Linked DNA regions of Oryzias latipes. The protein of the gene in region 1 interacts with the protein of each later gene in a pairwise test. Links are inferred from orthologs where the notes say so. Each region holds a gene or a part of one and is shown on either strand. Other genes may lie near its edges. The genes, in order: arl6ip1, snx12, acsf2, snx15 and spg21.

Region 1 (6,445 bases):
ACCTGAGCCACTGTCGCCACTATATGCAAAAAGTGCATCCAAGAACCTGCGTTCAGCGCATTCTTGACCGTGCAACACCTGCCCTGTGTGTACGTAGCTTAAGTGCGATGCCAGAATTCCAGATCAAGTCCTTACGTTGGTTTCTGAGTGCTGGAGGGAGGCGGCTCCTCCTTTTCCTGAAGCATCATCCTGAAACTGTTCACCTTTTCCTCAATCTCTTCTGCTGCATACCTGAATGACCAAACAACAGAGACAAGCCATAGCTACCTTAATATGCAGTTTCAGATCAAACACGTTTTTTCCCAACAAAAATATTCTATTCTAAAATAAAAACAGCAATCCTTCATGAAAAAGGAATATAGTAATGGACAAAAAGTCTGTTTAATGATGTAAAACTTATTGATAAATAATCCTAAAATGGTTTTGTAGTTCTTTACCCTTGCTCCTCCATCATGTCTTGTAGTTCAGCACATTTGACCTCTAGCTGCCTCTTGCGCTGATGCTCCAGGATGTCCGCATTGGGCTGCCGGTTCAGCTGACTCTCCAGCCTCTCCCGGTCCTTCTCATCTCGTTCGCCGCCGCGCTCGTCCCGCGGGCGCTTGACCCGCACACTCGACAGGTTGCGCTGCACATAACCGTTGGTGCCGCTGCCCCGCGGAGTCGTCAGGCCGATGCCATTGTACATGGCTCTGCAGAGGAAAAAAGAGGTGCTGAACCTAACTTTATCCCAAATTTACAAATTCCTGTGAAGGAAAATCTTTCATTCCTAAGTGTTTGCAGAACTGAACTTCCACACACATCTGCGACGACCTGCATACTAATAAAATAAGGGCAGTAAAAGGGATTGTCTCATTTTGCCAATGATGCAAATATATCAACCAATCTATTCCATTTATTATTATCTCCATTAATGTTTTATAACCTGATAAAGTAAACATTGTGGATACACAGAGAAAAAAACGTTATTATCCAGGAAAGAGAAATATTGTATATTTTAGTTTAAACTCAGAATCAGAACATTCAAGGTCTGTTGAAATGCAATGTGGCAGAGCAGCAGATTATTTTAACCCGTTTTAGATTTTCTTCAAACAAATAACATGGGAATACAGTGGATTACGGTTTCCATATCATTATCTGACGCATGTCTCTTTTTAAAATGGCAGACGTGGCGATTCCCTTGTCAAGATCGCTTGGTATTTTTAATCTGTAAAAAAAACTGATTTTAAAAATAAACCATAAAAGAAAAAAAAACAAACCTAAAAGTGTGAAATCAGTGGTGCATCACAAAACGAAACTCTCCCAGCAACAACAATTGGGTAACAATCTGGTGAGCCGAGTTTACCGTACAGGCTCGAATGATAATCAGCCTTCAACACACATAGTAAGGAGTCCGGAGACTCAAGAAAACGTGCGCACTCACTGTTAAGTTGCATTTACGAGGAAAGTGTTGTTTTTTCGACTATAATACACGTGCGCAGACATAGGCCTTTTGCTGTAAGTGACTTTAAAACTTCACTAATGTCATCAGAAATACTACAAAAAATGTATTTCTAGGCTATACTAACGTTTTATGTTTAAATAAATTATCCAAGAAGGCCTGAATAAATTAAACAGGTAGAATTCACGCATTAGCTAGCTAACTAACTAGCATGCTAATATAACAGCTACGTACCAATTTGTAGGTTTCGCTCGATTTTTCTTTCTTTTAAAAGAAAATACCGAACTTATATCAACTTAAACTTTGCGTCTGATACCTTACTCCACTGTCAAATTGGTCGAATTGATCCTCAAAACAACCGTATCCTTAGAACAAAAGCACTCTTAGCACTGTTAGCAACCAGATAGCTCTCAATTCAACCACGGCATAAGTGAGAGGAAGACAAAACTACGTCACACGTTCAACAGTCGTCCAAACCGTGATGCGTTCAAGTGCCGTAAGATAATAGTAGGAACATTGATGTTCATGAGAATTGCGTAGTTTAGTAATGCATTTATTAACTACATTTGCTTATCATTAATTTGTAATAAAGTGAACTGAGCCACAATACTAAACAAAATTCTAAAAGGTATTATTTTTTCCTGATATACTGAAGTAAAGGTTAAACCCATTAGTAATGAATTCATTTAAAAGTTTAGAAGCGTTTCATCAAACCATATTAAAATTGAAAAATAAAATGTGTAACTATCCATTTTTTTCTGAAATATTATTCAGCTAGTGATATTTTTAAAATTGTTTTACAAAATTGTATATTTTACTTTCATCTGTGAGCACTTTTCTGTTGTCTATTTTGAATTTGTTTCTAAAATATTCAGTACGTTAAAGACGATTTTGAATTTTTAACTCAAACCTTTAAAAGGAAACGTGAGTCACTTTTTTAAATTTCCTTATTTCTAACAAACGTGTTTTTTACTATTATTTTTATTTATTTATTTATTTATTTATTTATTTATTTATTTATTTATTTATTTATTTATTTATTTATTTATTGGACATAGCGAAGGGACATTTTTAAATGTATGGATGTGTTTTATTTAATTGCTTTTAAAAAGGACAATTGTCGGTGTGCAGAGAAGCATAGAACTTCATTTCCCAGAATGCAAGTGGTTAAAGTTGACGCAGGTTTTGAGATAAAAACATCCTGTCTTAGCTCGACCGTTAGAGACGCCGAAGCAGCAGGTGGAGTGCAGTCTAATCCCCAGCTCCAGTTTAGCTGTAGAACTTTAAGGGGTTTCACGCCACAAATCTAAAACACCGAAACCACCGTGATGGCTGAAGGCGACAACAAAAGTTCAAACGTAATAGTAAGTGCACAATTTCCCTCCTTTTCTTCATCTCGTGACGTATTTTGGTGGTTTTAGCCTAATGTGTTCAACGTTAGCATGACTCGCAGATGCTAATTTTACTAGCTTTTCGCCGCATAATATTTCCATTAATGTTCATTATTAACTTACAAACTGTTAATAATATTAACTTAAAGTTTTGTTTGTATATGTTGTTAAAATTAGTTGAGCTTTCCACCGCGACTCTTCTTTTTTAACGCTAGTAGCTAACGTTAGCTAGCTATCTAGCATGATTTTTAGCTGGGTTTAGCCTTCATCGATCGAAGATTTTGATTGTTGAATGTTAAAATTGCATAACATAAGCTTTAATTCTTAATAATATAAAACGATATATGATTCTTCTTTTGGTTTTACTAACAGAAATGTTGGCATGTACGTTGGTTATTTCTCAGAGACGCCCCAGTGGGTTTAATTAAAATACTCCCCGCATTATAATCGTTTTGCGGAACATGTCTCGTTGCGGATACTATAGTTTTAAAGCTCCATTATTGCCTAATTTAAGACTTCCGCTTAATTGAGCCACGTCATTTCCCCAACTTTTAGAATAAATTACTCAAACCAAACTGTTGGTTTTTGGGCTTTTGGCTGCAGTGCCAGACCCTCCTAAAAAGAGTTTAGGCCTCATTTCAGTCACAGTGCAGCATTAGACTAATGATTTAAGTGTCACCCTGTGGGTAATAATTTCCAGTGAGTCACAGTTTTGTTATCAGTGACTCTGACTGATAGCTTTTGTTTTAAGGAAGATGTTTTTAGAAAGGGAAAGGCTGACAAGAGACCAAACAAAGAAGGGAGTGTATAGACAAATATTCATTTGTCGTTTTAACTATTTATTCAGGAATGTTCCTGAAAGCTTTCTTCTGTTTTTGATTCATCTGCTGTCAAAATAGAGTAAAAGCAGGAATAAAAAAAAAAGTCATCAAAATAGAAACATTTTTTTTTACTGGGGACTCCAGACTGGTTGGTTGGTACCGGGTTTGCTGAAGCAGTGTTCTGTGTTTAGGCTCAGGAAACTGCACAGCTGGAGGAGCAGCTGCAGGCCTGGGGAGAGGTGATCCTGGCTGGGGATCGTGTTCTGCGATGGGAGAAGCCCTGGTTCCCTGGAGCTCTAGTGGGAGCTACCACCGTGATCTTCTTGTAAGTCGGGTTTACTCTATGCTGGGTTGGGTTTTAGAACATGCCATACCAGAATGGTTTCATCTGGGATTCTTTCATTTTTCTTTCGGATGTCTACTTTTAAAGATCGACGCTTGAATTGTTAATGAGGTGACCTGTAAGGACAAAAGGAGGATATATAGTAATGTCGCTACAGAGAATTTGCTCTGAAAAGTCCAATTTCCATGAAAACTTGAGAAACTCTTCATTTTTATGTTTCATTCTTAGAGTTGAACAACAATTGCTTCTTTCAGGCCTAATTTTGTTGCAACACAAGGTTTTTCTTTGCCTGAGGGAAAGTTTTCGGTTCTCTTTCACTCTGCCTTCAGTTTTTATCAGAGTGCAAATGCAGTTGTGTAAATGTTTTCAGAGTTGAGAGAAGTTGGTAAATGAAAATGTATGTAAGGATTTAAAACTTTTAAAGGTAGTCAGACTCATTGACCCACGATGAGGGAATCTCACCTTCTTGGGATCTTCAGTGCTGTTGCCCAGACTTGCGTAAACTCATGTCGGCACATGGAAAAACTGAGGTTTACGGCTATTACCATGTGTTCTCTCACATCATGCTGCATTAGACACTGAGTTGTTTGTATTTGCCAACGTCTCTCTTTTTAACTTCCCGTGTGCTGCGCTGCGCCTTTTCCTGTAGATTTAGAGCTTTTTGTATCTGAAGTCATATTCAGAAAAAAAAGCTGCAAACTATCAAACATTTCTAGTTGTATAAAATATCACAGCCTGAAGATGCAGACTAGCTTGTTGGGTTTAAAAAGCACTTTGTGTTTTGTTAAAATCACAGTTCAGCTGCTTTCTTAATGTGCTGCATTCCTGTTTAATTCCCCCAGTGTCCACGCCCTTCCTCCATCTGCAGCCCACAGTTGGATGATTGTTTATCAGCCTCGCAATACTTTTTCAGATGTCGTATTCATAACCGCACAGAAACCTCTGTGTGTTGTTGTTTTTTTTTTTCAAGTAGATGTTTGAATGTTTGCTTCCTGTTTCAGGCTGGTGTATTACCTGGACCCGTCAGTGCTGACTGGACTCTCCTGCACAGTCATGCTGCTCTGCTTGGCTGACTACTTGGTTCCCACCCTCGCCCCCCGAGTATTTGGCTCCAATAAGTGGTGAGAGGATCACCCAACCCTGTTTTGATTCTTAGTTTGGCATCAGAGCCGACTTGGTTGACAAAAAAGTCTGAATGGTTTTGTCTTCATGGTGGACTTCTCTTTGTCAGACGTGATGCCTAAACGGAATGTTCATTGAGCTTTGAAATGTCAGAATGAGCTGAGAAGCCAGTTCACTGAAAACCAGACACCATGACGGCAGAGCGACACGCCGCAGGTGGCCAAGGGCGCCCTTCATCCCTCTCTTGGTGTCTTAGGTTTCTGGATATTTAACCCCCCATCAGCTGTCCGTGACCCGCGCTGCTCTACTTAACACAAATAGCAGCAGACGGGCTGGTGGTGTTCAGCAGCTTTTATTTGACTGTCTATTCTGGGTCATCTGAACCTCCAGTATCTGTTCGGATGACGTTTTTCATTTTGCAGCTTCAGCCAGGCTGTCGTTCTGTCTGACCAGCTCGCTGACTTTTGTTGTCCGTTGCTGAGACTGCAGAGGAGTCTGATCAAAACGATGTCCTAAGGTCGATGAATGTGACTGAGCGTGCTCCCGCTCTGAGAACACAGGCAATGACTCGGCAAAGTGGGGGGGCAGTGCTCCAACATGGGGGTTTCAAGAAAGTTTTCCCTTTTTTTAGTGAGGAAATATTAAGGCTGTGAACATGCAGAAACTGCGGTCAGCAGCCATCCATGAAGCAAAGCCGCTTATCAAAGTTTAATAAAACGAGGTCACGCTTTCTCCCACCCCTCACACAGTGTTCTTAACCGTTTGAGTGCAGGACTACTGAGCAGCAGCAACGCTTCCATGAGATTTGCGGAAACCTGGTGAAGAGTCAGAAGAGGGTTGTTGGCTGGTGGAAGCGTCTCTGCGCTCTGAAGGAGGAGAAGCCCAAAATGGTAAATTTAAACGCTGCAAGTGAACAGCAGAGCGTTTGAAACTGCGGCCCAGATTAAAACTTCATCTGACTAGGCTGAGCCGGTCCGCTTGTAACTGGGTTACAAGCAGCAGGAGTCCCAAACTTTAACATAAAGCACTTCCTTTTTGTTTTTGATGAGTTTCTCTCTAAGCTCAGGAAGTTCTCCCCCATTGTTTCATCTTCACAGTACTTTGCCTCAGTGATCAGCAGCCTGCTGGCAGTGGCCTGGATCGGACAGCAGGTGCACAACCTCTTCCTCACCTACCTGACTGGTAAGGTTGTGTCTTTGTTGTGTTGTCGTGACAATGTGCTTACTCTGCAGTTTTTCAGCTACTCGTGACTTTCAGGCTTCCTGCTACTGTAGATCAATCCACAGATCAATGCGGGCTTTTAGAGGCGCACCCTCCTGCTGTTTAAACC
Region 2 (6,518 bases), on another chromosome or scaffold:
AATACAGTTTGCTGAAATAAGTTCTGGGAAAAAAAACATTTTGTTTAAATGTAGTCTATAATTTAAACAAAACATATACAGAATATGAAAAGAAACTTCTGAAAATATCCTGTTTAATTATGTGACCTCATATGACTGCCTGCAATCATGGCAGAGAAGTCGCACTGATGCAAATCTTCAAAAACGTGTTTTTTTTTAGTATTTCCACTAAAACGTGTCTGTTGGAAACAGTGTTGTCCGTTTAGATTAAAGGACTGTGGATGTAGTTGTTACAGTTGTTTTATTTAGGTGCTGCTGTGTCTTCATTCACTAGCTTATCATATATCTGGTATGTCTGCAGTCAGCAAAACTTTGAGGATGGAAAGACTGCAAAATATTTTCTAGATGTGCTGTAAAATGATGCAAAGTGACAGAGATGTCTATGTTTTGTTTGTTGCTGAAGTAAACTAGGAATTTGGCATAAAAAACTTTTGTTTAAAGTGATAAATAACCATTTCTCATCTTTAAAAATGTTTGCGATTTTATCCATTATGATTTTTTTTATTCTGATCTCCTGTTGTAAATAAAGGTATAAATGATGGTGTTTATATAAATAATATTTTAAGTTTCATACATTTAATAAAAGACAAACATTATATATATTAAATGGAGAGAATAATGGTTTGATAAATTGATCGATCTTGATTTGTAAATCAAATCGCCAGCTAAAGGACAGTCAGTGGTCAGTTTGTTTTATTGAACAACCTGTTGATGAACTGCTCCAGGCCCACTCGCCGCTCCTCGATGAAAGACTCCTCAAAAAGGCCCTCATCGCCGCGGAACGGCAACTGTCTTTTTAGTGCTTTCCCCGGCAGGGGTGGTACCACAATCTAAACGCAAGACAAGTTTATATGAACAAAAGAAAAAAAAAAGAAAAAAGAGCAGCTGCATCCATACGACAGACACTTTATCGACTAACATTTCTCCACATTTAGATGGAAAGCTGTCGTGACAAAGGACGCCACAGATACGTTTTTATTCTCTAAACAAAGAACCGTTCAAACCTCGCAATGCAAGTATTACTTTAGGCAAGTTAATGTTTTGTAGATGTGTGTCCACTCAGTCACTGTAATTACTCGATTAGGTCGGCCTCCTTCAATTATTAGCCTGAATCGTGTTATTGTTGGCCACTCACCTTACTGTCTCTCTCCAGCTCATTCTTTAACCATTCAAAGTCGCTGTATCTTCTCCTCACACACGAATCCTTCAATTTGAAAATGGGAAGGTTTGTCTACATAGAAAAAAGAAAAATGAGACGATTTCTCTGGTTAAAAGTCACTGGCTTACCAGTTAAAGTGATGGTGAAAGTTACTGTCAGAACAGACAAAAGTTTACTTGTAACCATTTGCAAAACACATGTAAGGCCAAACATACCATCCTGTACATTTATTTGTGATGCTGCTGTGTTTATTATTCTAACAGTTGATTGGAAATTCACAGAATTTTAAGAAATAGCGGAAAAGCAATTAGTCATAGGTGCCAACCTCAGCTATAAACAATGTTTCATGAAAGACCCACTTCGATTAAAATTTAGTTTTTGGTGTCCTTGTGGCATTTTTCCCATGATGGAAAAAAAATAAAAATATATATATATATATATGTAAACACAAATAAAAGCATAAAACTGCATTTCTGAGTATTTCTACATTCAAATTGTCCAGAAGAAGGATCAGACAAAAAAAAAACACAGTTGGAAAAAGCTTGAAGCTGTGATACAGAAGCTATTACAGACAGCCACAAACTCCCTGTTCTGCTTGATTCCAATGTGTCCACTTGCAGACAACTATATCCATCCATCTTTATTTTCATCGTCCGAACTGGCATCAGGCTCAAAACTGTACGGCTGGACAGCTACAGCAATTTTTGTGCACTGATAATGTTAGGTTTGGGGTGTGAGGGGCTGTAAGCCAGCAGGAAACCAGTAAACAGATGGCTGATGGGAAAGGAGCGGGCTCACGCCGCACCAACAGACAACTCTGAGGCAAATTTCTTAAACTACTGCCACTCTGCAGAAAAAAAAAAAGTCCTAGAAAATGACAGGCTTTTTGATTTTTGCTTTAAAAAATTCATCCTTTTTTTTCATCATTCATGAATGAATGAATGAAATGAATTGCTTTAAAAAAATGGCATAATCATAATTAAAAAAAAAACACTGGGAACGCTTTTAAATTAAATCAAAAGACGATTAGAGTGGGACTTTAAAACTATACAAATACTTTTATAATAGTTACAGAATCTGGAGTTATTTTTGTTACATTTGGAAGGGAAAATGGGGAAAGTAGTGGCTAAACTAAAAAAATATATGTTATGTTCTTCCAAATAATGCATTAAAAGTTGCTGTTCGACAAACTTATTCAGAGCTGAGGTACCACTCCGCCATATTTGATTGTGTTAGGGACACAGATTCTGGTTTGAGCAGACAACAATGAACTTTTTCTTTGTAGTAACAGACTGAGGGACATTTTGAGCTGTTATGTCTCGTAATTGTTTGCTGTAAATTTCACAAAACCTAAATGTAAAACATTTTTATTTCCTATTCAAACAAGGCTGGCATTTCTCTACAGTCAATAGTTTTGATCCAACATGATCTTGAAAATGCTTAAACGTTCCCAGCAGACCCAAACGTGAAATACTGAATCAACAGTTGTTGCAGTGTAATTCTACAAGCCACAGTTTGTTGATAATAAAGTTGAGAAACGTTGCTGACAACACTTTTTTAGAGAATGGCGGTTTTGTAATGACCATGTCTATCCTGTGTCTGCTTCCTGAAAATGTCTTAGGAATGTGCCATGTTGGCGATTTTAAGCATCTCCTTGTTACAAGCTGAACAGTTTAAGGGGAATAAATCAGCAACTAGCACTGATGTGGATAGCCAATAAACTACAGGACATTTGTGCGACTAAAAAGGAAAATACCAAAGGAAAAAAAAAAGAAATTAGGACGAAATATTGCCCTTAAAAAAGGTTTAAGTTATTTCAGTTACCCATTTGTTGAAAGAAAGAATACATAGCCTATAGCCAACTATTTCTATTAAGGATAGTTATCAAAAGTTGCTGGAATAAAAAATGGCCAGTTTTTATTGGACGACTTGTGCTGTCTTCTCTGACTTTATTTATCAATTTTGTATGTTATCCACAGCGGTGAATTTAAAACAAGTAAAAGTGTATTTAGTTGAGCATAAGTATGTTTAAAACACGTTTTTTCGTCCAACACAGACGTTCATGAAACTTCTGCCAAAAATAGCACAGCTAGCAAACCAAAAACTAGGCCGTCCTTAATCCCCGCGTGTCCAGTCCTACTTCTGCGGCCTCTGAAGCGACTCTAGGCGGCTACCGTTCACATCACAGTCCCGTTCTTGTGCCGACTTTAGCCTTCCGCCTTGACATGCTAACAGCTCAGCAAAAACATTGTAATTATCAGTTAGCTTAGCACGCTTAGCTAATTCCCCTTTCGGGTAAGACGTTTTAAACCTACCCTCATTCGAACTTCATAAGTAGTGTAACGGTTTCTTCCCACTCCAACGATCTGGGGATCGTAGACATCTATTTCCAGAAAATTGCTCGGGGGACCGTAAGCATCCGTCAGATCCTGGGGCTTAGAATTCAACCGGCGAGTGTCGGCTACTACAGGATCTGTCATTTTGTCGGGCTGTAATTTTTAGATGGCCAGTAAAGTATTAGCGTAAAAACCAACTTAAAAACACGCATACGTCTTAAATCTCATCTGAAGGCCTCAATTGATGACTAAAGCAGATCGGTAGGGTCGGCCAAGTAGCGCTCTTCTTGTTGGGGGCCAGCCGCCCTGCGCCCTACCCTTCTTCTGTGAGGAAATTGCGAAGACTTCAGTTCCGTGTTATGCGGGGCTCTGCACTCCCCCTAGCGGATGCTGCTGTAACTGCAATGGCCTATACCTGGCCTATACCTCAGTCTTTTTTCCATGTTCTTGTGGCGTTTTTTCTCGTTATGAATGACACATGTAAAGAAAATGAAGTTCAAAATTACATTGCTGAGTATTTCTTTAATCAAATCGCTGTGAATCAAGAGCAGACAAAAAAAAGCCTGTAGCTGTGATGTACATGCTACAGTTGGTGGGCCACAAGCTCTCTCCGCCCGATTTCGATGCATTCACTTATAGACGACTAGATCTATTTACGGCTTTGTTTTCTTCGTCTGAGCTGGCATTTGGCCCAAAATGTACAATTGGATGGCTGCGATATTGCTAGCCTTTTTTATTCGCCATGGTAATTTTATGCTGAGGTTTTGACGGGCTGTAAACTAGTGGGACAGCGTGTAAACAAAGGGATGATGGGAAGTCAGGGAAGCTTTTCTCCGTGCCAAAAGTCCCGCCAACAACTCAGAGGCAAATTTCAAAATTTAGTTCTACCGCTCTACAGAAAATCTGTCCTGAAAAAATAACAATGTTATTTTTATTTTATTTTTTTTGCCTGAAAATGGCAAAATCGTAACTAAAAGACCCCTGGGAACCCTTTTACAATAGATCAAAAGAGGACTGGAGTGGGGGGACTTAATGTAAATGTAAACATGTACAGAGGAAAAAACATGATACTTCCTCGGAGTGGAATAAATAATGAAAGTCAATTCAATTTTAGGATTTGTCCAAGAGATAACTTCTTCCACTTTCAGCTTTTTCCCATCAGGGGTTGCCACAGCGAACAAGTCGCATGGTAAACTTGGCAATGTTTTACGCCGGATGCCCTTCCTGATGCAACCTTCTCAAAGCAACCGGGCTCGGGACCGGCACAGAGGTAGAGAAGGGAACAGGGAGCAGCCCGGATTCGAACCCTGGTTCCACGGATGGAAGGCGCCGCAAACCAGCACGAGCAACCGGCTCCTGTCCAAGAGATAACAAAGTACTATAATAAAAATCCTAACATTTTAAATCATTTGGTCCAAAAATGACAACAGACTCCTAGCAAAATGTAAATGTACTAAAAGTATTCTTAGTCAGTGCTAAAAGTGAGGTGGTATAGTTGAATTTTACTTTTTATACTATCTGTATGCTGTAAACCTAAAATGTTCCAAATTTAGTCAGGAGTATTCAGTTAGTATAAATCCTATTCTACTCGTACACATGGTCTACTGTACAATAGACTTGCTATGCTTACACTATACTTATACTCAAGTATACTTGATAAAATAAACTTCAACTGTACTACTTTTTGCTAAGTGGAGAGACACTTGAAGTTAGGTAACGTGGGAAAAAAAACTCTACAGGTAGCTGATAAACATTTTTATTAAAAACCAAAATGAAAGGCAATCATACAAATAAAAAGCAACATTTTAATGGCATATACTGTATGTTTACGTGTGTGATTAGTAATGAACTTAGTCATTTTAAAATAAAGGTAAGACAAGTATTTTTCAGAGCAATTATGTTAAATTTTCAACATGAAAAACCTCAAACAATGATACAAGATGAAGTAAATCTACATTACACATTCGACTTTTGCCCATTGATTACTTACATTCATTCCCTGTTTGCTTAAAGCTGACATGATGATAAACTTTAACATGTTTGGTTGACACATTCTCGTTAAAACCGCGTAACTTGCATATCAATTTCAACTAAATTGTCAGCGAAATATTGTAATATTGATACTCATAGTTTACATAGAAGACTGAATTAGAAACATAATGACATTCATATAAATTGTAAAGATATTTTACTAGAAAAATACTTACATGAAAAAACAGATTTAATACATGTAAAATAGTTATTTTTCATCCAAAAGAAGAGATTTTTTTTTATATTGACGACTGTAAAAAAAGATAAACATTATCTAGGGCGCATTCATAATAATAAAGAGGGCATTGCTTTTTTTATGTTTAACTGCAGCTATAGAGAGTAAAAGCTTTTATTTGGCACATTTGACTTAACTTCCCTCCACTATTCCATCCGAACTGCATAAAAGCTTGAGGATCAGACACTGCTCTTTTAGGACGGTGGTATTAAAATCTGTCACGTTTTACCTGCGGATATATTGCAATGTAAGACTTCCACACATTTATAAAACAGAAAAATTACAAAATAAAAGTACAAATACAAACCTGACACTGATTATTTGCTATTTTTCAAGTAAAGTAAAAAATTGAGTTTCAATTAGATGTTTTTCTTTTGTCGTTTTTTTAATCAAAAAATATGCCTGATCAATAAAGAAATATGCCATTGATTTGTCATTTGTGTTTTTAAAGACTATATATATATATATATATATATATATATTTTAAATCCTTGAACACGAAATTTTAAAGGAAGTGACTATTCGCACGGAATTAGGGCGGGGTTAGGGTTATGGTTAAGGTTAAAATACATGCGGGCACTGCAGCAGTGTGCATTTCGGCCATGTGGCCAACACAAGTGAATAACATCGGCCATTTAAAACAAACTGGATTAACTGTGAAATGATGACTGGTCTCCTTTTTGAAATTGCCGGTCTTTTATTTTGCCCATAAATCATC
Region 3 (6,447 bases), on another chromosome or scaffold:
CAGTAACCACCGTTTGCGTCCAGTTTGGGCCGGAGAGGACAGGAAAGAAACAAACACAACAGAGAAACTAGAGAGGAGCTCAGTGACTGCACAGAAAACAGTCACAATATAACAAGAAATGAATGTCAAATGATGGTCATCAGCGTTGCTGGAGAAGGCGAGGTGAGCGATACTCCACAGTCAAGGCATCACCAGTCAGTGCAAAACTCGTGTGGTCATTGTCGATGGTCCAGTCGATGCACGTTCTTACCTCAGAGACATCATGGAGCCCATCATCATCATCATCCCTGAGTTTCACCAGCACATCCCCAACTTTCTGTTCATGGAGGACAATGCTCCACCACATGGTGCCAGAATTATCACAGCTGGACCTCAGGAAGTGAGAGGGCCTTATCGATCAATCAATCATTATATATAAAAAGCGCTTCTCATACTTGGCCTTGCAATTAAAAACAAAACTAGCCACCGAAATTGAAAAAAAGCCAGGCCACCCTTTAACCCCCTCCCCTCCATCAACACATACATCCCATGACCCCACTCACAATGAAGACTTATACAACTAAAGAAACCTCAGGCTTGGCTCTGCTGTGAAGAAACAGTATTTTGAAAATCTCCTAAGGAACATCGCCACAGTGGCCACCCAGACCGGGACAGCAATGAAGTCCACTCCACAGCCGTGAGGCTGCAATGTTAAACTCCAGCCACCCCGGCAAGGGCGACAACCACCCCACATCAAACTGGCAAGCCCTGGTGGAAAGGATCCTCATAGGGAACACTGGGGCTAAAATCATAAGAAAGACGTTAAAATTAAATACATAACATCGAAAATCAAACTAGATACAGAAAATAATAAAACTAATAAAAAATGATAAATGGCAGAACAAAGCCATAAGGTATGGCCAGAAATGCCCCATGACCTGAACCCCATAGAGCAGGGGTGGCGAACAAGTTTGACACAAAGAGCCGCCATTTTAACTGTGAGAGTCAAAGAGACACACGATGCACTGACCTGCCAAGACATACACACACAATCACGCAATTAAAGCCATATCATTTCCCATAAACACTCCTCTCTTTACAATACAACAGCAAGTATTGTACTAGTGTTTATTTCAAGGCAAGTGTCCACTCTCAATACATTTATCAAATGCAGCTTAGCCAGAGTTAACACAGCGGCTACCTTGGAGGTCAGATAGCACCTCAACACACAGGAATTAAGTTTACTATTATTATTTGTTTTTAATACCCTCTGGTAGATTTGAGTGTGGTTTAGGAGGCAGAAAAACTAAATTTGAAATGAGGCACAGAGCAACAAATGGAAATGAAATACCCATCATAAATGTTCAATTTTGGTTATTTGGGATTATTTTTATCATTATTTTTGTCTTAGTTGGTTAACTGAAGGACTGGCACCCGAGGAATCAGGGATCGTTTCCCAGGGGGCGCGATACTCTTCATCTCGTGTAGGATCTTGGGCAAGACCCTCACACTACTGTCTAATGTAGCCACAGCAGGGCCCAAGTCTGGGTCTCCCTGTGCTGGTCCCCAGCTCGGACACGTAGGGCTGTGTCAGGAAGGGCATTCTGTGGAAAAATCCCAGCCAAACCACCTGTACGAATCAGTGTAAGCTGATTGGCTGTGGCGACCCCTGAAAGGATGTGCTGAAAGCTGAACAACAATCTATGTCAGGAGTGATAAATAAAAAAATAATGATAATGGTGTTTCTTCTCATTCATTATTAGTAATATCAAAGGGAACTTTTATGTATTTCGATAAAATTCAGACCAAATAGGAAAAGCCCTGATGTAAATAACATTTCTAACTTATTCTAATTCTCAGCAAGCCATTTAGGAATACTAATAACATTTATAAAGTCTATTTCCTATATGTACCAACCTGGTTCTGCATCAGACGCATGCTCAGAGCTCTCCAACCATCCAGGTCTCTAAATCAATGAAAACACAACAGAGCTCCATTTCTGGGCCCCTCTGACTGAGTGACTGCTCTGTTTTCTGCAGTATTGACTTGAAGTCGCCCCTCTGGGTGGATCTCGTGCATTTGTAGTAGGCTGGTTTGATTCAGGCATTTGACGCGCACGCGGGGGTTATCGCGTGCGCGCCTGCCCCCTCCCCGCAGCCACCAATTTCGTCCAGCCTGAGGAAGGATCAAGGTTCGAACGCGGAGCTGCAGTGTTTCACCCCCCGCGACAGTCTGAAGTCCAGTCGGCAGAGAGCTGCACATCATGGTCCCTGGCGTTGCGTTCACGGCCCGCTGCTTTCCCGCAGCTTTAAAGTGTTTGCGGACACCGTGGACAAGTCGCGCGGGACTCCCCGCAGCTGCTCGGTAAGTCAAGTCTGCAAAACTTTCACTTGAAGAAAAAAAACAGGATACACACGCATTATGGAAAACTTGATTTCCGCAGATACACAGCGTCTACAAAAAACAAGAAATCATTTTTTTTGTTTACATTTTAATTATCTAAGTTACTGCAGAATCTCAGAAAGCCCCTTTGTGTCCTTACATTAAACACACGCAGCTTTTATATACATCATGTTGCACAAATCTCATATTAAAAGCACCGATAATGTGAAACAGCTGTAGCCATAGAAGGGGAGGAGACGAGGGTGAAAAAAAAAGCTGTTTGCGATCCTGTACTAATGTACTTAAATGATCTAATTTATAATAATACCAAAATAAAGTCTCATTAAGCGCAGTCTTGCTGCCTGTTGAAAGAAAGATTGGTTTCCTTTACATAATAGGACGTTTGGAAAATATCTTTTTTCTTTATGGCTGAAAGTATATACGTCAGACATGAGGCGTGAATCTGCAGACGGAATCCAACCCTGCTCCCTGTGAGTTACCCTGCTTGTTTTGCAGCTGCTTCAGTGATTACTGAAGGAAGGAAAAATAGGCACGGATCATGACCGGATCTGCACGGATCTGGCAACATAGGTTGCCAGATCCGTGCAGATCCGGTCATGATAAAAAAGTAGATTCCAGTAGAGGACCATTTTCAGAAATACCCTAAAATAAATGTTTGTACTGCAATTTATCACAAAAAAAGACTTTTGTTGTGTTTATTTTGTTTGGTAAATTGTCACTTCGAAGAAAAGGCTTTGTGTTCCATTATTTGTTGTGTTAAGATTAACCAAACATAATGTTTTTTAGTAAAAGTGAACAGTAGTTAATTTACAAACTCCACTCTGATGAAAATTGTTTTATGAGTGTTATTTTAACATGCTCTTGTGGTATTTTTCTCATGATGGAGCGCATATATCAAAAAAATGAAGTTAAAAACCCATTTTTGATTATTTATTTTATTCAAATCATTGTAAATATGAAGCAGAGAAAAAAATCAGAAAAAGACTGTAGTTGTGACGTACAACAAGCTCCCTGCTCTGCTCCATTCTAATCCATCCTCTTAGGGATGTCTAGATCCATGTACGTCCTTGTCATCTAAATCAAAACTGTACGGCTGGATAGTTCTGGTATTGCTCGCTATTTTTGTTGTACCGGTATTGTTGGGGGGGCTGTAAGCTAGCTGGAGTGAGTGTAAACCAGAGGTGGGCACTGAGGGCCGCATTCCTGCATGTTTTCCAGCATACCCCGCTCTGGCATGTTCTAATTGGCTGGACACACCTGAACCAGGTAATCAGCCATGAGTAGGGCAAGATTATTGGCTGGACACACCTGAACCAGGTAATCAGCCATGAGTAGGGCAAGACTATCTGGAAATCATGCAGACACACCGGCCCTCGAGGCCTGGAATTGCCCACCCCTGGTGTAAACAGAGCTCTCAGCAACAGAGAGGGGAAGGGGGGTGGAGTTGCCTCGAAAGTTAAAAAGAACAATTAAAATAACAATTGAAAATATCAATTAAAAGGAACTAAGAAAAATGCAATTATATGAAAATTAAAATACGTATTGATAAAGAAATAGGCTTTAAACATTACAAAACATTAAAAAGAATATAAAAGAAATAATAGTACAGATTATACTAAGGGGGAGAGGTATATTAAAATTCAATCGAAGGATAAGGACAATTCTAACTTCCTGTTCTCATTCAATCTCGCTGTAGCTCAGTGTTCGCCTTCATCTCAGGCACATTTGCCCGAACCCGGACTTTTTTTGAAATGCCGGTACTGAGTTACCGGAGAGTACCGGCCCACTTAAAGCACTGCCTCCATGAATAATGTGGTTTCTCTAATGTTGGAGTTACTGCTCACTTCCTAAAACTTTAGACCTGTGCTGTAAGTTGGCTGACATTTGCAACAACTCCCTCTTTCTCCAGTTTCATTCATGTGGACGGACCGCCAGTTGTTCCCACGCTCACGACCAGCTATGCGCACGGCACATCCTCCACACCGCTGCTGCACGACACAGTCGGAGGTATGCTGCAGAAGAGCACGGAGCGGCATCCCGACAAAGAGGCCGTCGTCTTTGTGCAAGATGGAGTCCGCAAGACTTTTGCACAGTTTCAGCAGGAGGTCAGTTACGACCCAACAGTAAAAGAAATTAAAAAACAACAGCATTTTTAAAATGGAAATTATTAACACTTTTTCTCATATTTTTGTTTATAATTCATGCAGTGTGAATCAAATTAACTGAATATGTACAGCGTGATTTCAGTTTTGGTTAACTAAAGGTCTTTCTACTCTTTAATTTAAAATCTCTGTGTTAAACTCTATCATTTTATCATCACTTGGTACAACAGCAAAAAGATGTTTATGGTGGTTGAAGGTCCTGATGTACCCCTCTCCTGGATGTTTTTCCTTTTATTCTCAACTGACTGATGGCTTCATTAGCCCTCAAAGACCTGATGTCAGGGATTTGAATGCTGGAGCACATGGTAGTGTCATGACTCTGGGCTCTTTTATTGCTTTTCTGTATTTCTGTCTCCAAGTTTTTGATCAAAGTCTGATGTTTTTCTTATCTTATCTGCTAAACTCCAACAAAAGGAGCAAATCTTTTAAAAGCCTCATCAAAGTCCATCTTAAGTTGATTCGTTTCTTCTTTCTGTGAGCTTACATGTGACTCTATTAGTGCTGATCTGTCCATCCTTACGCTGTTTGTGTGTTTAGTTCACAAATCAAATCAAATTTTCTTTGATTTGCACTTTTCCAACTTGTGTTTCTCAAAGTGTTTTACATAAAAGCCTAATCAAATTTGAAAATCAAAAAGCAGGACATTACGCAAAAATCTTATAAAAACCCATACAATTCCCCCTCCCCCCACACACACATACGCACACCAACGTAAAGTAAAAAATGAATCACTATAGTGATGCAATATAGAGATCTGGCTTTGTACTGAAGTGGGGAAACAATATTTTGGGGACCTGTCCACATCAGTGACCCCCCCCACTCAATTTCACAGAATACGCTACCACAGGACCCCCCAGATCCAAGCAAAGAGCCAGACCTGGGAGATCCTATTGCAGTGACCCCGTTCACTGAGAAGGGTCAGTCACTGATGTGGAGGATCCCTCTGAGGAAAACGCTGGAGTTACAGATAAAATGTAAAAAGAAAAACAAAAAAGATAAATAACCAAATAAGAACATAAATAAACCTTAATAGACAGATATAGATCAGTAAAAGTAAATAAAAATATCAAATGAGTAAAAAGAGAAGATAAAATAGTTAAAATATCATATAAATTCCAAAATTTTAACTCTCAAACTCGGAGGCAATTTTCTAATCAACTTCTGGTGCTCTGCAGAAACTATGTCCTAGAAAACAACACAAGTGTGTTGATTTTGGCTACAAATAATAATTATAATAAAAGACCACTGGAAACGCTTTGAAAATAGATCAAAAGATGATGATAGTGGGTCTCTAGGTACCTTTAGCTTCAGTACAAGTAATTTATCATCTGTGATGTGAAATCATGTTTTTTACTCAATAATTTTATTTAAAGTTGGTTCTCCCAGAGGACCTAATAGACAACTGAACAAGGAAACAAGGGGCCACTTTTAATATCAAGAACTAGATTAAATAGGAATCTTTTCATCTTTATTCTCCTGTGGTTCAGTTAGATCTACCCGTTTTGCTCAGGTGGACCAGGCTGCTGCCGGGCTGCTGGCACTTGGACTAAAGAAAGGAGACCGCCTTGGTATGTGGGGGCCCAACATTTATGAATGGATCCTGTTCCAGTTTGCAACAGCCAAAGCTGGCATTATTATGGTGAGTGACTGAGTACAGAATATAAAAAAGAAATCATAACTGTGAACAAATGAGTGAGATTCTAATTAGTAACAACATTTTAAAATGTACACATGGTTAGATCAGCATCAGTTTTGGATCTTCTTAGGATCTCTTAACCTCTATAAAATTCAGAAGAACAGACAAGTTCCATCCTGATTCTACATGGTTGCAGAACAAACTAAAAGCTGAAATACCCTGATCACCAGACATACTTCTGGGTATTTTGGCCAAGCAGCTCCTTTT
Region 4 (4,680 bases), on another chromosome or scaffold:
AAATATGTCAAAAATTCCTAAAATTTGTAAGATTTTCTTTTAATAAGCCACAAAATCTGCCAATGTGGTAAAACAAAAATGTCTCACCAGGAATTCTTTTTTAAAATCTAGTCACTATTTTAAACTAAGATTATTTTTTAATTTAAAAACTTTCCTAAAAGGATTATTTCTCTTGCAAGACAGACAATTTCCTTGAAACAAGGGTCTTTTGCTTTTTTTAAATTCTGTTTTTGCAGTCGGCACCTTAGATTGCTCTGTGTGGCTCCAATGAAGAACATGTGACGTCAAAATTTAATTTTATGCTTCTAAAATTAGATCTGACAGCAGGAGGGCAGAATGCCAAACTCACGCTGCGTGGAGACAGTCCCCTCCTGATAAAAGCCAAGCAGAGGATATGTTTTTGGGAAAGTTTAGAAACTGGAGAACAAATAAATGATGTTTAAAGTTTCCCCTTGACCAATGTTGAAGATCATTTTAGCACAAAAAATCCAACAACTAGGGGTTGTGTCCGAATACCTTCACTACTCACCATATAGTGCACTATATAGTGCATTTGCCATTTTGCAGTGGTGTCTGAATCTACAATTCCAAAATTGAGTGCCCTACAAATTTCCCAGAAGTCTCTGCAAAAAACCAGTGTGCATCGATGCTCACTAGATTGTCAAATATAGACCACAATGCATTGCGTTGGAACAATTTTTGCCAAATAAATGTATTTTTTTAATAAACCATCAACGTTTTTATCTTCAAACCCCCACCCCCTTCCCCTCCCTGCTTCAAAGAAATTCAGAAAACTTTCTTTTTTTTTATTTGCTAAAAAGAAAGTAACAATAAAAAAAACATTTAAGTTGGCTCATACTAAGCCTAAGATATTGTAATAAAATAATCAATCAATCAACGCGTTTGTCACTTGTAACGTAAACATACCTGTATTCAAAAGTGATACAATGATTCACTTTCTCGAAGAAACGGTTTAACGGTGTAATATTCGGTTTGGTTTAAAACCAAGAATCCCATTAAAAACTGCTTTTTCTAAAAGTCATTGGGGTTTTTTTTCCACGCAGTTATCATCCGGCGTCATATCTGACCTGCAGCACACTTGATCTATTTATTTAATTTGAGCCGCAGGAAACTGAGGATAAACAGAATCTTCATTTTTGATTTTACTCACAACCCTCTCAATAGGGTCACCTGCTAATCATGTAGTGCTACAACTCACAAATACACATTTGTTTAGATCATTAAGCATTGAATAGATCCAGAATCCTACATTATTCCACCACTTTTCTTTAGCTCAATCAATTATTGCACCTGATTTGATCTATTTTCTAAAGAGCTTTACAAATGTCAAATAAAGATGATCAAAGAGATGTTACTCCATATGCATTTTGCTTGATACTCAAATCTTAACTTTAGAGTAAGGAAAGGGGAAGAGTGGCTGCAAGCTAATAAGAATGTGTCATAGGATGGATCCACTAGTGCCTGTCCTCTGCGTTTGTGTAACCGTCCCCCTCAGACAGGGAGCCTGAAGCCTTTCTGCCACAGACCCGACGGACTCGTCCGCTGACCGGATCCTGCGTGGGGACACTTCATTCTGTGGATGCCAGTCCGCTGAAACATGCTCCCCCATGTGGAAACAATAACAGCAGCAAATGCATTTGTGCAGCTGCTCTGGAGCAAATCCACAAACAATCCTAACTGGACCATAGCAATACCTTTACGCCATGTTACTTCCACAGAGGAAACAGTTGCATTGAGGAACAAAAATAGCCTATGGATCATTTCAGATAAGCAGCTCCTGCATGTCAAATTTGGATACAGCGGAAATTTACAGCACAGTAACAGGAAGGTTATCTAACTAAATTTACTTAAGTATCCTTCAATACAAATAATCTAAACTCTGTTGATTTAATTCAAAAATACCACATTTTTATTCTTTGGCCTAAAGTTGTGTGTCCTAAAACTTGTCGTTTTCTTTGGACAGTTTCTGCAGAGCGGCAGAACTTCGTTAAAATTCGCCTCTAAGTTGATAGCGGGACAGTTGGTGCAGAGAAACCCCCACCCCCTTCCCCTCCCTGCTGCTGAGAGCTCTCTGTTTACATACTCTTTCGCTGGCTTCCAGCCCCTCAAACCCCTAACCCCACATTCCATGGATCCAGTCGTCTATTGGATGAATCAGAATGGAGCAGAGCAGGCAGCTTGTGGCACCGCTCAGTGCATGTTTTTTACGCCAAAACTTCAATCTTTTTCAAACTGCATTTTTTGTCTGCTCCTGATTTACAACAATTTGAATAAAGAAATACTCAGAGATGCTGTTTTAAGCTTAATTCTCCTAATATCTATAATAGAAAAATGCTCCAAGAACATGTTAAAAACAACAGAAACATGGGTCCTTAGCTTCATCACATGACTCTTGAGTCCTAATGTGCATCATAAACCTTGCAAGATAAAATGATGGAACTAGGAAATGTTGCTTTGTTAGCTTCCCAATTTATTTTTTATGTTTTTGTATATAATATCTGTAAATTAAAAGTAAAATATATTTAAAAAGATTAAATAAAAGCTTTGGGATACTGTATGCACAATCCATAAATATTTCACCATACCTTGCACTCCAGTGATCAGGATATCCACAGCCGTCCTGTAACCCCGAATGGCAGAGCTGAACTCTCCCTCCTTCTCCCTCTCCATGGCGGCCTTCAGCTCCTTGGCTGCTTGGTTCAGGTATCCCACGTCCCCCCCATTCAGACTGGAGGGGAGCAGGGAGAGCAGCTCTGAGTGATCGGAGGAGAAGCCCGTTGCTTCTGGAATAGAAAAGAAGGGATTCCTTCAAGTGCTTATTCAAAATGTAAAATCCCTCCATCATCTTAACCCGCTATAGCCCTTTTGGGATCATGGGGTTGCTGGAGCCTGTCCTGGTTACTGTTGGTAGCCGGGACAATGCACACATGCACACCTAGAGACGATTTCAATTCACCAAATGACCTATAAAGCATGTTTTTGGTCTGTGGGAAGAAGCAGAAGTGCCCGGAAAAAACCTGCACATGTAGAGAGCTTGCAAACTTAAACCAGGGGCGAGAGGGCTATCCACTACGCCACCATGCAGCCAATGTTTGAATCCAATTTGTAAATTAAAGGCACAGGGATGTGAAATATTGCAGTTCTGATTAAAAAAACTGTATGGGACCTCAAATTAACAAATAGGTTATTTTTCTTTGTAAAACTTCTTGAATAAAATTAAAACACTGATCTAAAAAATCATATTAATAAGACTATTAGTTTTGAATTAAAGCAGCGAGCCGTGTTGTATGACCCATAAGTGATACCCGTCCCCATTTCCCCGGCTTTATTTTCCCCCTCTGCCTCTGCCACCCCGGTCAGAGCTGCATGTTGTTGTTTTTTAATGGCAGCATCTCTGTTGGTTAAATCTCCATAAAAAAAAACCATTTTATCTTTTGGTCGCCTGGCGGTGACGAACCGGTCTGTGTCATTTTAAGTGACAGCACATTTTGGGATTTCCTTGGCAACTGAGGTCCACATTCCTAATCTGTTTTGTATCATCTGCTGTATCATTTTGTTCAACTTGAGCCAGTATTACATTCATGTATTCATTTCTTTTACAATATTTGGGTGGCAAATGTGTGGGCAACAGGAGAACGCCACTTATGGAGGCTCCCCGTGCTAGCACCTCTGAAAATCGACTAAATTCTTCCAGTAGCTTTCCATTGATGCTCAAGGAGTTAGGAGGCGATAAGATGGGAAGTTTAAAATTGTAGCTGATACTAAAGGTGAATTTTTTAATGGAAAATAAATAAATCTAATTTAATGACATTTTGAAGTTTTGGAGCTAATGTTGACTCCGTTTTTTAAAGTAGATTAATGCAAAACGGCGACAAAAAACCCAAATATTTAGCAAAGCTGAAGCCTAACAAATAAAAGCTTGGATTTGGGAAGCTAGAAGATAATCAGGACTTCCTGTTTATGCTTATTTTCATTCATAAAAGCATTCAAGTTTTGCCCAGAGGTGTTGTGTTTTTGACCTTGTGTGTAGCAGGGATCAAAAACCGCCAAGTCGTTATCAGACAGAGGCGGGGGGCCCTCTTCCTTTGGAGATGGGACTTTCTCCTCTGCCTCTGAGTCAAACAGGGAATCGAACTCCTCGTGGGTCCCGTCTGGTTGGTGGCGTCTTGGTGAAGATATTTCAGGAGAAGCAGCTGGACAAACGGACAGAAGATGAGAACAAAAATCTACCAAAAATAGTAAATAAATAACGTTTAAAGTCTCGTACCTCGCTCTTCCAGATCACTAAGTTCCTCTTCTCCTCTGGGAGTTCCTCCGACCTCAACGTACGCCTCGGCTGCCACCTCCGGCTCCCCCAACTCTAAGCTCAAGTTGGTGCCCAAATCTTGGGGTAAAGTGGGGGCCTCCCTGCCCTCTTCCTCTTCAGCCGGGTCACAATCCGAAGCCCTCCGCTTGGGCAGGGGAATTAGAGGGGGAGGCAGAGCCCCGGCCGAGAACAGAGGGGAGGGATCAAGGGGCCTTGTGACTTCACCCCCCTGAGGGAAGAAAAATGAAGGAAGAGAAATGAGGAGGAGGAGGGGGATATGAGACAGTGAAAGTGTGAATCTGTGTCCTCACTCTGAAGAAGTCCTTGAGCTGCGGGCTGTTGTAGAGCGCAGG
Region 5 (6,528 bases), on another chromosome or scaffold:
TTCTTCAGCAGGAAGGCCGGCATGAGCCAGAAGCTGAAACAGAGACAGACGTGAACGCCAGAAGACGGCAAGCTCCCCCTGCCGACGAGCGGAGAGCGCCACCTGTTGGCCGTCCACGTCTGGTTGAAGATGGAGGTGTCGCTGAAGGAGTTGCACAGGACCAGCGAGTGCACTCTGGGAGACTTGTGGGTGTACTCCGCAAACTTCTGGGCCAGGAACCCGCCCAGTGAGGCGCCGAACAGGTGGACCTGTGAGGGGGAGGGGGCACAGGAATCTCATCAGTCCACGCCCCCACGGGTTTGGACCCAACACAGTTTCACCTCAGAACCACACAGGTACCTTGTCCAGCTGCAGGTGATCCAGGAGCTTCCTGAAGCCGTCGCAGAACTCCAGCAGGTCCCAGTAGACCGGGTACTGCAGCTGAAACCAGAACAGAGGAACCGTCAAGTCCAGACGCTCAGGGAAACGCTGCACCATCCGTTCAGGCCGGACTCTTCATCAGAACCTTCATCAGCGACCGGAATCAACCGATGCGGATAAATGACATGTAAACATAAAGGATTGAGTTAACGTGAAGATGTGCAGGAGAACAGGATGAACCTGCTTACCGAGATGACCCGGTACCCCCAGCCCGTCAGGGCCAGAACCTGCTGGAAGAAGACCTCGGCCGTCCCGCTGACCGGCGGGAGGAAGATGATGGGACAGCGCACGCTCTTCGGGCCGGCGTCGTACAGAGACCACACCTTACTGTCGTCGTCATCCACGATGATCTGGAGGAAACAGGAAACCAGAGAACTCGCCTCAGAGAGGGCGGGGAACCAACGGAACCAACGGAACCAGAAGAGAACGCTCCAAAGAAAGAAATGCTAAAATCTAAAATCACAAAAGTTTAACAAAAGAGGAAAAATGTGAAAAGTGCAGCGAGAAGCAGAAACATGCCAAACAAGGCCAAAAAAAAGCAAATACAAATGAATCTCTAAATACTACGAAAATACAACAGCGTCATGACGGTCCATAAAGGGTTCGGTTGTTTGTTCATCACACGGGTTCTGTTGTAAAAAATAACCTGCGATGGATGAAAATGGCGGCGTTAGAGTCTAGATGTTTGAAGGCAGAAAACTCCTGACTGAAGACTTTCTAGACGTTTCACTCTGACAGGTCAGACCTTTGGAGAAACATGAGACGATAGCAGGAGAACAACCATCTGATGGGTTCTGTTCAGGAGACGGACTGACGACAGCCAATCAGGAAGCAGAACACTAAACGATCAGCAGCACAAACGTCAGAAGTGAACCGCGACCACAAGAAGAACTCAAAAGGCCGAGTTCAACCAAAATGATCAACCGGAGCCAAAGGCTGAAAAACACCAACTAAAAAAAGAAAAAGAAAATTCTGCATCTTAAAAAGCAAAACCAGAACAAATAGCATCCAGTTGAAGAATTCATGTGCTAACAGCTAAAATGTTAGCATTGACGCTTTGTTCTATGGCAGCCCCTCCCACCAATCAGGAGTGAGCTTGTTGGAAGGCCACGCCCCTACCACTGGAAAGCTGTAAACGTTTTGAACACTGGACAAGGGGGTCAACAGGCTCCGCCTACTTTTATTGAGGCGTCTGATTGGCCAGTTAATGACTTGACTAACTTGAGATACAGGAAAAAAAAAGAGTTTTATCAAGTAGATGTTTAAAAACAAAAAGGTATCCGATCCAGAACGGTTCTTCTGACCAACAGAATGACAGCTGTTGATTTGCAGATACTTCCTGTTTGTAGCAAAGGGGAGGGGCCCCTCCGTCCAGTTCCGGTATACAGTCAGTGGTAACAAAAGAATCTGCAGAGAGGTTTTTCTGAAAATCTTAAATCCTTCAGATCAAACTTGTCTGGGGGGTTTTAAGCCGTGCTGCCAGAAGCTGACCTGCATCAGTCACTCAACCTCTCTGTCCCAGAATGCATCTCTCCTGAAGTGCATGAGTGAGCAGAGGGAAAACGAGTGGATTCGTGCCAGTAAAAGCAGCACATGTGATGCCCGTGTGAAGCTGAGGGAAGCATGTGACGGCTGGGTGATGAACGCCGTCACATGACTCTCCACCTCTCAGAGCCTCAGCAGCAGCGGCTCAACCTCCAGCTGCGGGAACCAGCCGGGTGTCGGCTCCAACGCCAAACAAATCCCCATTTTTAAGAGATCTGTGAGCTAAAAACCCGACGGGAATAATCGTCTTATTCCAAAAGACAACGCGAGCCGTTGTTCCACCAAACAGCAGATCCGAGGACCAAACCCGTTTTCTGAAAGCTAATCTCATCTTAATCCAAGAGGGCGATCCGTGCCGCTGAAATCCAGCCTCAGATTTCTCATTTTCACGCAGAACTCAACACAAAAGTCATGAACTAAAGCAATCAGAACGATTGTTTAAGCAATAATTGACCACAAATCTTGAAAAAAACCTAACAAACTAAATGCAGAGACGCCTGACACTCATGAGGGGATTTGTGAGGTTTAAATTAAACATCTTTAGCAGAAAACGTTGTGATATTTTCTTAGACTAAAATAGAAACACAGCTGTCAGGCTCCAAGCTTCCTTTTTCCAAGGTAAAACCTTTTTTTTCTGCTGTGGAATGAGATGCAGAGTCTTCCTACTATATTCACTAACCACAAAAACAATGTTTACAACAATCTGAATGTAAATAAAATTTGAAAAAAGACAACATTTGAGCAAAATCATAAAAACTTTATGATTTTATCAAACATCTGTTTGAGCGGAGCTTCATTTTTCCAAACTGTGGTTCTCCAGAAAAACCATAAACCAGTTTAAAAAGTGAATACAGGAAACAGGTGAGACAGAAGGGACAAAATGAAAACACGTAATGGCGAAGGGGCGTGGTCTAAGCAGTGCGTTCTTGGTCTTATTTTGTTGTTTGTCAACTGTTTTCATGGTGATTTTATTGAACAGAAGGGAAGCAGGTCACAAGATCAAGTATTAGTGCATAACATTTGTAAAACGTTTCTTAGACAGCGTGACAAGCTAACGTGTGCTTTAGAGACCATGATACTACCACCACCTGTCAGCTTAAAGACCACGCCCTCATTTCCATATAAAGTAATCCTCAACCTTTGAATAGGAGGGCTTTAAAACCAGGTACGGTAAAGAACACGGGCGCTAAAGCCACGGCGATTAAAGGGTTCATTTACAGAACCAACCGAATTCTACGACAGAGTCAGTCACAAAAGTCTGGAGGACATTTCACAGCAAGCCTCCTCCGACTGTAGGTTGAGGCTAGTAAACAGAAGAAGAAGAAGAAGAAGCCCCTCCCTGCAGGCGCAGTGTGAACACCTGGTCTGAACGGTGTGCATGTAGTTTCAGAAAAATAACCTCTCTGGGTTTAAGGAGTTCAGCTGTGTTTGTCCTGAAGCTCGGTTCTGAACAGGTTCGGCTCATCAGAACCTGAAGGTTGATCCAGCAGGACAGAATCCCGATGACCCGTCACGGAATGGACCCCTTCACACCTGGGGTGCTTTTGTATCACGTGACCACGAGAGCAGGTGTTTCATAAGAATTTCAACGCGCGCGAGCGTTAGCCCTCATCGCATCGGCGACGGTCCAGCTGCTCCGGAGTGAGGCGCGTGACGAGGCGGGAACTTACCCTCTTAAGTGGCACGGTGCTTCGGAACCAGTTGTAGTCTGGAGACACCTTGATCTCCTCCATCTGCGGACACAGAGACGGTGACTCAAGTGTGTGTGCGGGGGTGTCCGGGCTCAGCTGCTTCCGCGCGGGGGCAGCTGTTAGCCATAATAGCGGCTAGCTGCTAAACGAACCCCGCGGTAACCCCGTTAACGGCGTAGAAACCGACCGCCCCGCCAGCCCCACTCACCGTGGACGTCACCGTGTCAGAGCCCACGCCGCTGCTCGGTGAAGGGTCACCGTGTCCGGAGACGTTTGTCCATGTCGGGTAGCGCTTGGAGCGGCTGCAGCTCGGTCATGTGATTTTCCTTTCACACACTTCCGCAAGTAGCCTCTCCGGTGCTGCGTTCGCGGTCGCTCTGAAAATCCTGTTCTCCGGCAGTAAGAAAGCCGCTTTGGTTTCTTAAGTCTTGCTTAATTTCTGTTGTCGTTACAGTTTTCATCCTATACAATGTAGCACTCAAATGTATTCAATGTTTGTCTGAATATGGAATCAATAGAAATGTAAGAAGACATTACAGACTCGAGATTCTTTCCACACAAAACCCAACGAATCTCCGAATCCCCGTTTTTCTCAAACGCATCGGTCAAACCTCAAGGTAATTCTTCTCATAATTTTAACTTCAGTCATCAAAATATTTGGATGAAAAACTTTCTAAAACAAACTTAATTCTTGAATGAAATGCGTTTTTGTTCGTAAATTGTTCTGAAATTACAATTCATACAAGTAAAATGGAATAATTTACATCTTCAGTGTGGATCAGTCTTTCATTGAAATCCTGTCTGTTCTCATTTTTTTGTGGTTTAACCTGGACAGGAAACTGAAATGACAAGATGTGTAGATTGGTTCCGTTTCCCAGAGCGGTGTTGGTGTGTCGTTCAGACTTTGGCCCCCATCGGTTCTCCAGCTGTTTCTTTAAAAGCTTCATCTGAAATCGTTTAACCACCTCCAAGTGTGTCTGACGTGACGCAGAGAAGATCAGTTATGGAAGGTTTAAACTGCTTCCTCAGGTCGTCCCCACTGTGAAGGTCAGTTTATTGGAAATGTTTTCTTCCCATTTGGAACTTAAAGGCAGCTTTAAAGCTTGTGAAACATGAGCGTAACCCCAAAGTGAATTTATTTACCCTAAACTGTTTAGCTGTTTAACAAACGTTTGATAATGAAGATAAAAAGGAGGAAAACCACAAAAAGACAACAGTAGAAATGATTTTTTTACCAAACTTTATAAAGTTGAGGGAAGTCCTGGAGCCCCAAACAGACTTAAGGACACATTAAGGGAAGAAGCTGCATCAGATTCTCTTCCAGGCACATCAGCGTCTCAATGACAAACGTTTTGGCAGTGAAAGCTCCAGAAGACAGAAGAAGTGCTTTAAGACGTTGGAATCTCCCATCCGACACATGCAGAACGGTCCTGTGCAGCAGCGTTCTGCACTGCTGAAGGTCTGAAGGATGGACGCATTTGAACTCATTCACCAATGTCCAAAGGTCAAAACCTTAGTGAGGGGGCGGGGCCAGAGCCCAGACCCACTGTGGTTAGTCTAGAACACGTTTGAGTCTCCTGGAAAGTATCAAACGTACAGAATCACAGAGAGCAGAAAATCCCACTAACCAATCCCTGCTCAGAATATGAAAAGCCCCGCCCACATCACACAATTTAAAGTAAAAAAAAAAAGTACCAACAGATGTAGAAATACACAAGTCGTGTATTTCTACTTTTCCCTAAAGGTATAAATGCACATTTGGATGAACGTTTCCGTCCGTTAGTCCTTCAGCTGCTAAGCCGATGTGGAAGTTTGAAAAAGCTGGAAGTTTTCTAAGGTGCTCAGTGTGAAAACACACACAAACACACACATTTAACGCTGTGACACATCAGTGCAGAAACACCTTTGCTTCCATGTCAAGCAGGTAAAAACGGCGACTCCACGGCGGAGCAAATCTTCTCCAGACTGGAACACGGCGAGCAGAGCGGCGACAGCGGCACGGAGCCTAGAACTGTTCTGACAGCAGCTGGCAGAGCCTCTGGGAGACGGAGTCCCTGCTGGTCCGGAGGGTGAGGCGGTACATCTGGGGACACAGTCACGCATAAGCATGGCCACCCCGGGGAGGTCAAAGGTCAGAGTGGAGGCCGTCTTACCTGCGCGTGCGTGTTGGGCTCCAGCCGGAGCAGGCAGCCCACCTGAGCGCTCTTGCTGTGAATGATCCCGGCTCCCACGAAGTTGGCGGGGTTTGGATCCACGCCCTCCAGCAGCGCCACGCCGAACCCCAGGAGCTGCAGGATTCGCACAGGAAGCGGGTCAGACGTTTGTGCAGCGCTACTGACTGTCCCACAGACCCACAGACCTCTGCAGGGCCACACAGACTGGTTTCCATGACGGTGATGGCGTGGCATGATGGCGGTTAACCAGTCAAAAATAGACCTAAAGTCTAAGGTTCGTGGTTGAAAGCCAACCAAGACGGTAAACGGCGAACAGTCACACACTGATGGCGGCTCCACTGCCAAACGCCAACCCATAACCACCAGGAGCTATGTGGGGTTCAGTGTCTTGCCCAAGGACACTTCAACACATGGGTTGGCAAGGCGGAAATCGAACCCGCAGCATTCCAACCAGAGGTCGCCCGCCGTACCTCTGGACCATGGCTGCCACAAGTGACAGGACCACGCTGACGGTATGGGCGTGGCCACTTTCAAGGTCCTGTGCTTGCTACGGCGCTGACCATGAGCTGACAGCGGTCCTGCAGGTGAGGGGCAGGTCCTCCTCACCTTGGCTTTGGCGGCGTCCGTTTCCATTGGATGTTGAGCCTTGAAGATCTTCTGGACTTCCTGCTGGGGTCTGAGGACACAGTGAAGGTGGA

What was found.
Region 2: the proteins of arl6ip1 (region 1) and snx12 interact in binary tests that used the Homo sapiens proteins (3 or more experiments, as listed by UniProt). The two-hybrid records come from large-scale screens. The link is inferred for Oryzias latipes from reciprocal best matches to the Homo sapiens genes ARL6IP1 and SNX12.
Region 3: the proteins of arl6ip1 (region 1) and acsf2 interact in binary tests that used the Homo sapiens proteins (3 or more experiments, as listed by UniProt). The two-hybrid records come from large-scale screens. The link is inferred for Oryzias latipes from reciprocal best matches to the Homo sapiens genes ARL6IP1 and ACSF2.
Region 4: the proteins of arl6ip1 (region 1) and snx15 interact in binary tests that used the Homo sapiens proteins (3 or more experiments, as listed by UniProt). The two-hybrid records come from large-scale screens. The link is inferred for Oryzias latipes from reciprocal best matches to the Homo sapiens genes ARL6IP1 and SNX15.
Region 5: the proteins of arl6ip1 (region 1) and spg21 interact in binary tests that used the Homo sapiens proteins (3 or more experiments, as listed by UniProt). The two-hybrid records come from large-scale screens. The link is inferred for Oryzias latipes from reciprocal best matches to the Homo sapiens genes ARL6IP1 and SPG21.

Annotation. Positions count from the first base shown.
Region 1 is NC_019866.2:2,355,155-2,361,599, reverse strand, and holds the start of arl6ip1 (ADP-ribosylation factor-like protein 6-interacting protein 1), read left to right. Parts: upstream 1-2,639; 5' UTR 2,640-2,766; coding exon 2,767-2,802; intron 2,803-3,841; coding exon 3,842-3,975; intron 3,976-4,994; coding exon 4,995-5,114; intron 5,115-5,887; coding exon 5,888-6,005; intron 6,006-6,212; coding exon 6,213-6,297; intron 6,298-6,445. Other genes in the region: serine/arginine repetitive matrix protein 2, read right to left, coding at 136-231, 438-685. UniProt on the Homo sapiens protein: Positively regulates SLC1A1/EAAC1-mediated glutamate transport by increasing its affinity for glutamate in a PKC activity-dependent manner.
Region 2 is NC_019872.2:7,799,085-7,805,602, reverse strand, and holds the start of snx12 (sorting nexin-12), read right to left. Parts: upstream 3,905-6,518; 5' UTR 3,679-3,904; coding exon 3,514-3,678; intron 1,271-3,513; coding exon 1,175-1,270; intron 870-1,174; coding exon 745-869; intron 1-744. UniProt on the Homo sapiens protein: May be involved in several stages of intracellular trafficking.
Region 3 is NC_019877.2:19,411,949-19,418,395, reverse strand, and holds the start of acsf2 (acyl-CoA synthetase family member 2, mitochondrial), read left to right. Parts: upstream 1-2,170; 5' UTR 2,171-2,242; coding exon 2,243-2,343; intron 2,344-4,291; coding exon 4,292-4,487; intron 4,488-6,054; coding exon 6,055-6,183; intron 6,184-6,447. UniProt on the Homo sapiens protein: Acyl-CoA synthases catalyze the initial reaction in fatty acid metabolism, by forming a thioester with CoA. Has some preference toward medium-chain substrates. Plays a role in adipocyte differentiation.
Region 4 is NC_019876.2:12,562,956-12,567,635, reverse strand, and holds part of snx15 (sorting nexin-15), read right to left. Parts: coding exon 4,639-4,680; intron 4,557-4,638; coding exon 4,289-4,556; intron 4,215-4,288; coding exon 4,041-4,214; intron 2,805-4,040; coding exon 2,607-2,804; intron 1-2,606. UniProt on the Homo sapiens protein: May be involved in several stages of intracellular trafficking. Overexpression of SNX15 disrupts the normal trafficking of proteins from the plasma membrane to recycling endosomes or the TGN.
Region 5 is NC_019861.2:37,279,330-37,285,857, forward strand, and holds the start of spg21 (maspardin), read right to left. Parts: upstream 3,999-6,528; 5' UTR 3,865-3,998; intron 3,699-3,864; coding exon 3,636-3,698; intron 771-3,635; coding exon 609-770; intron 421-608; coding exon 340-420; intron 249-339; coding exon 103-248; intron 34-102; coding exon 1-33. Other genes in the region: AP-2 complex subunit alpha-2, read right to left, coding at 5,662-5,739, 5,810-5,944, 6,437-6,506. UniProt on the Homo sapiens protein: May play a role as a negative regulatory factor in CD4-dependent T-cell activation.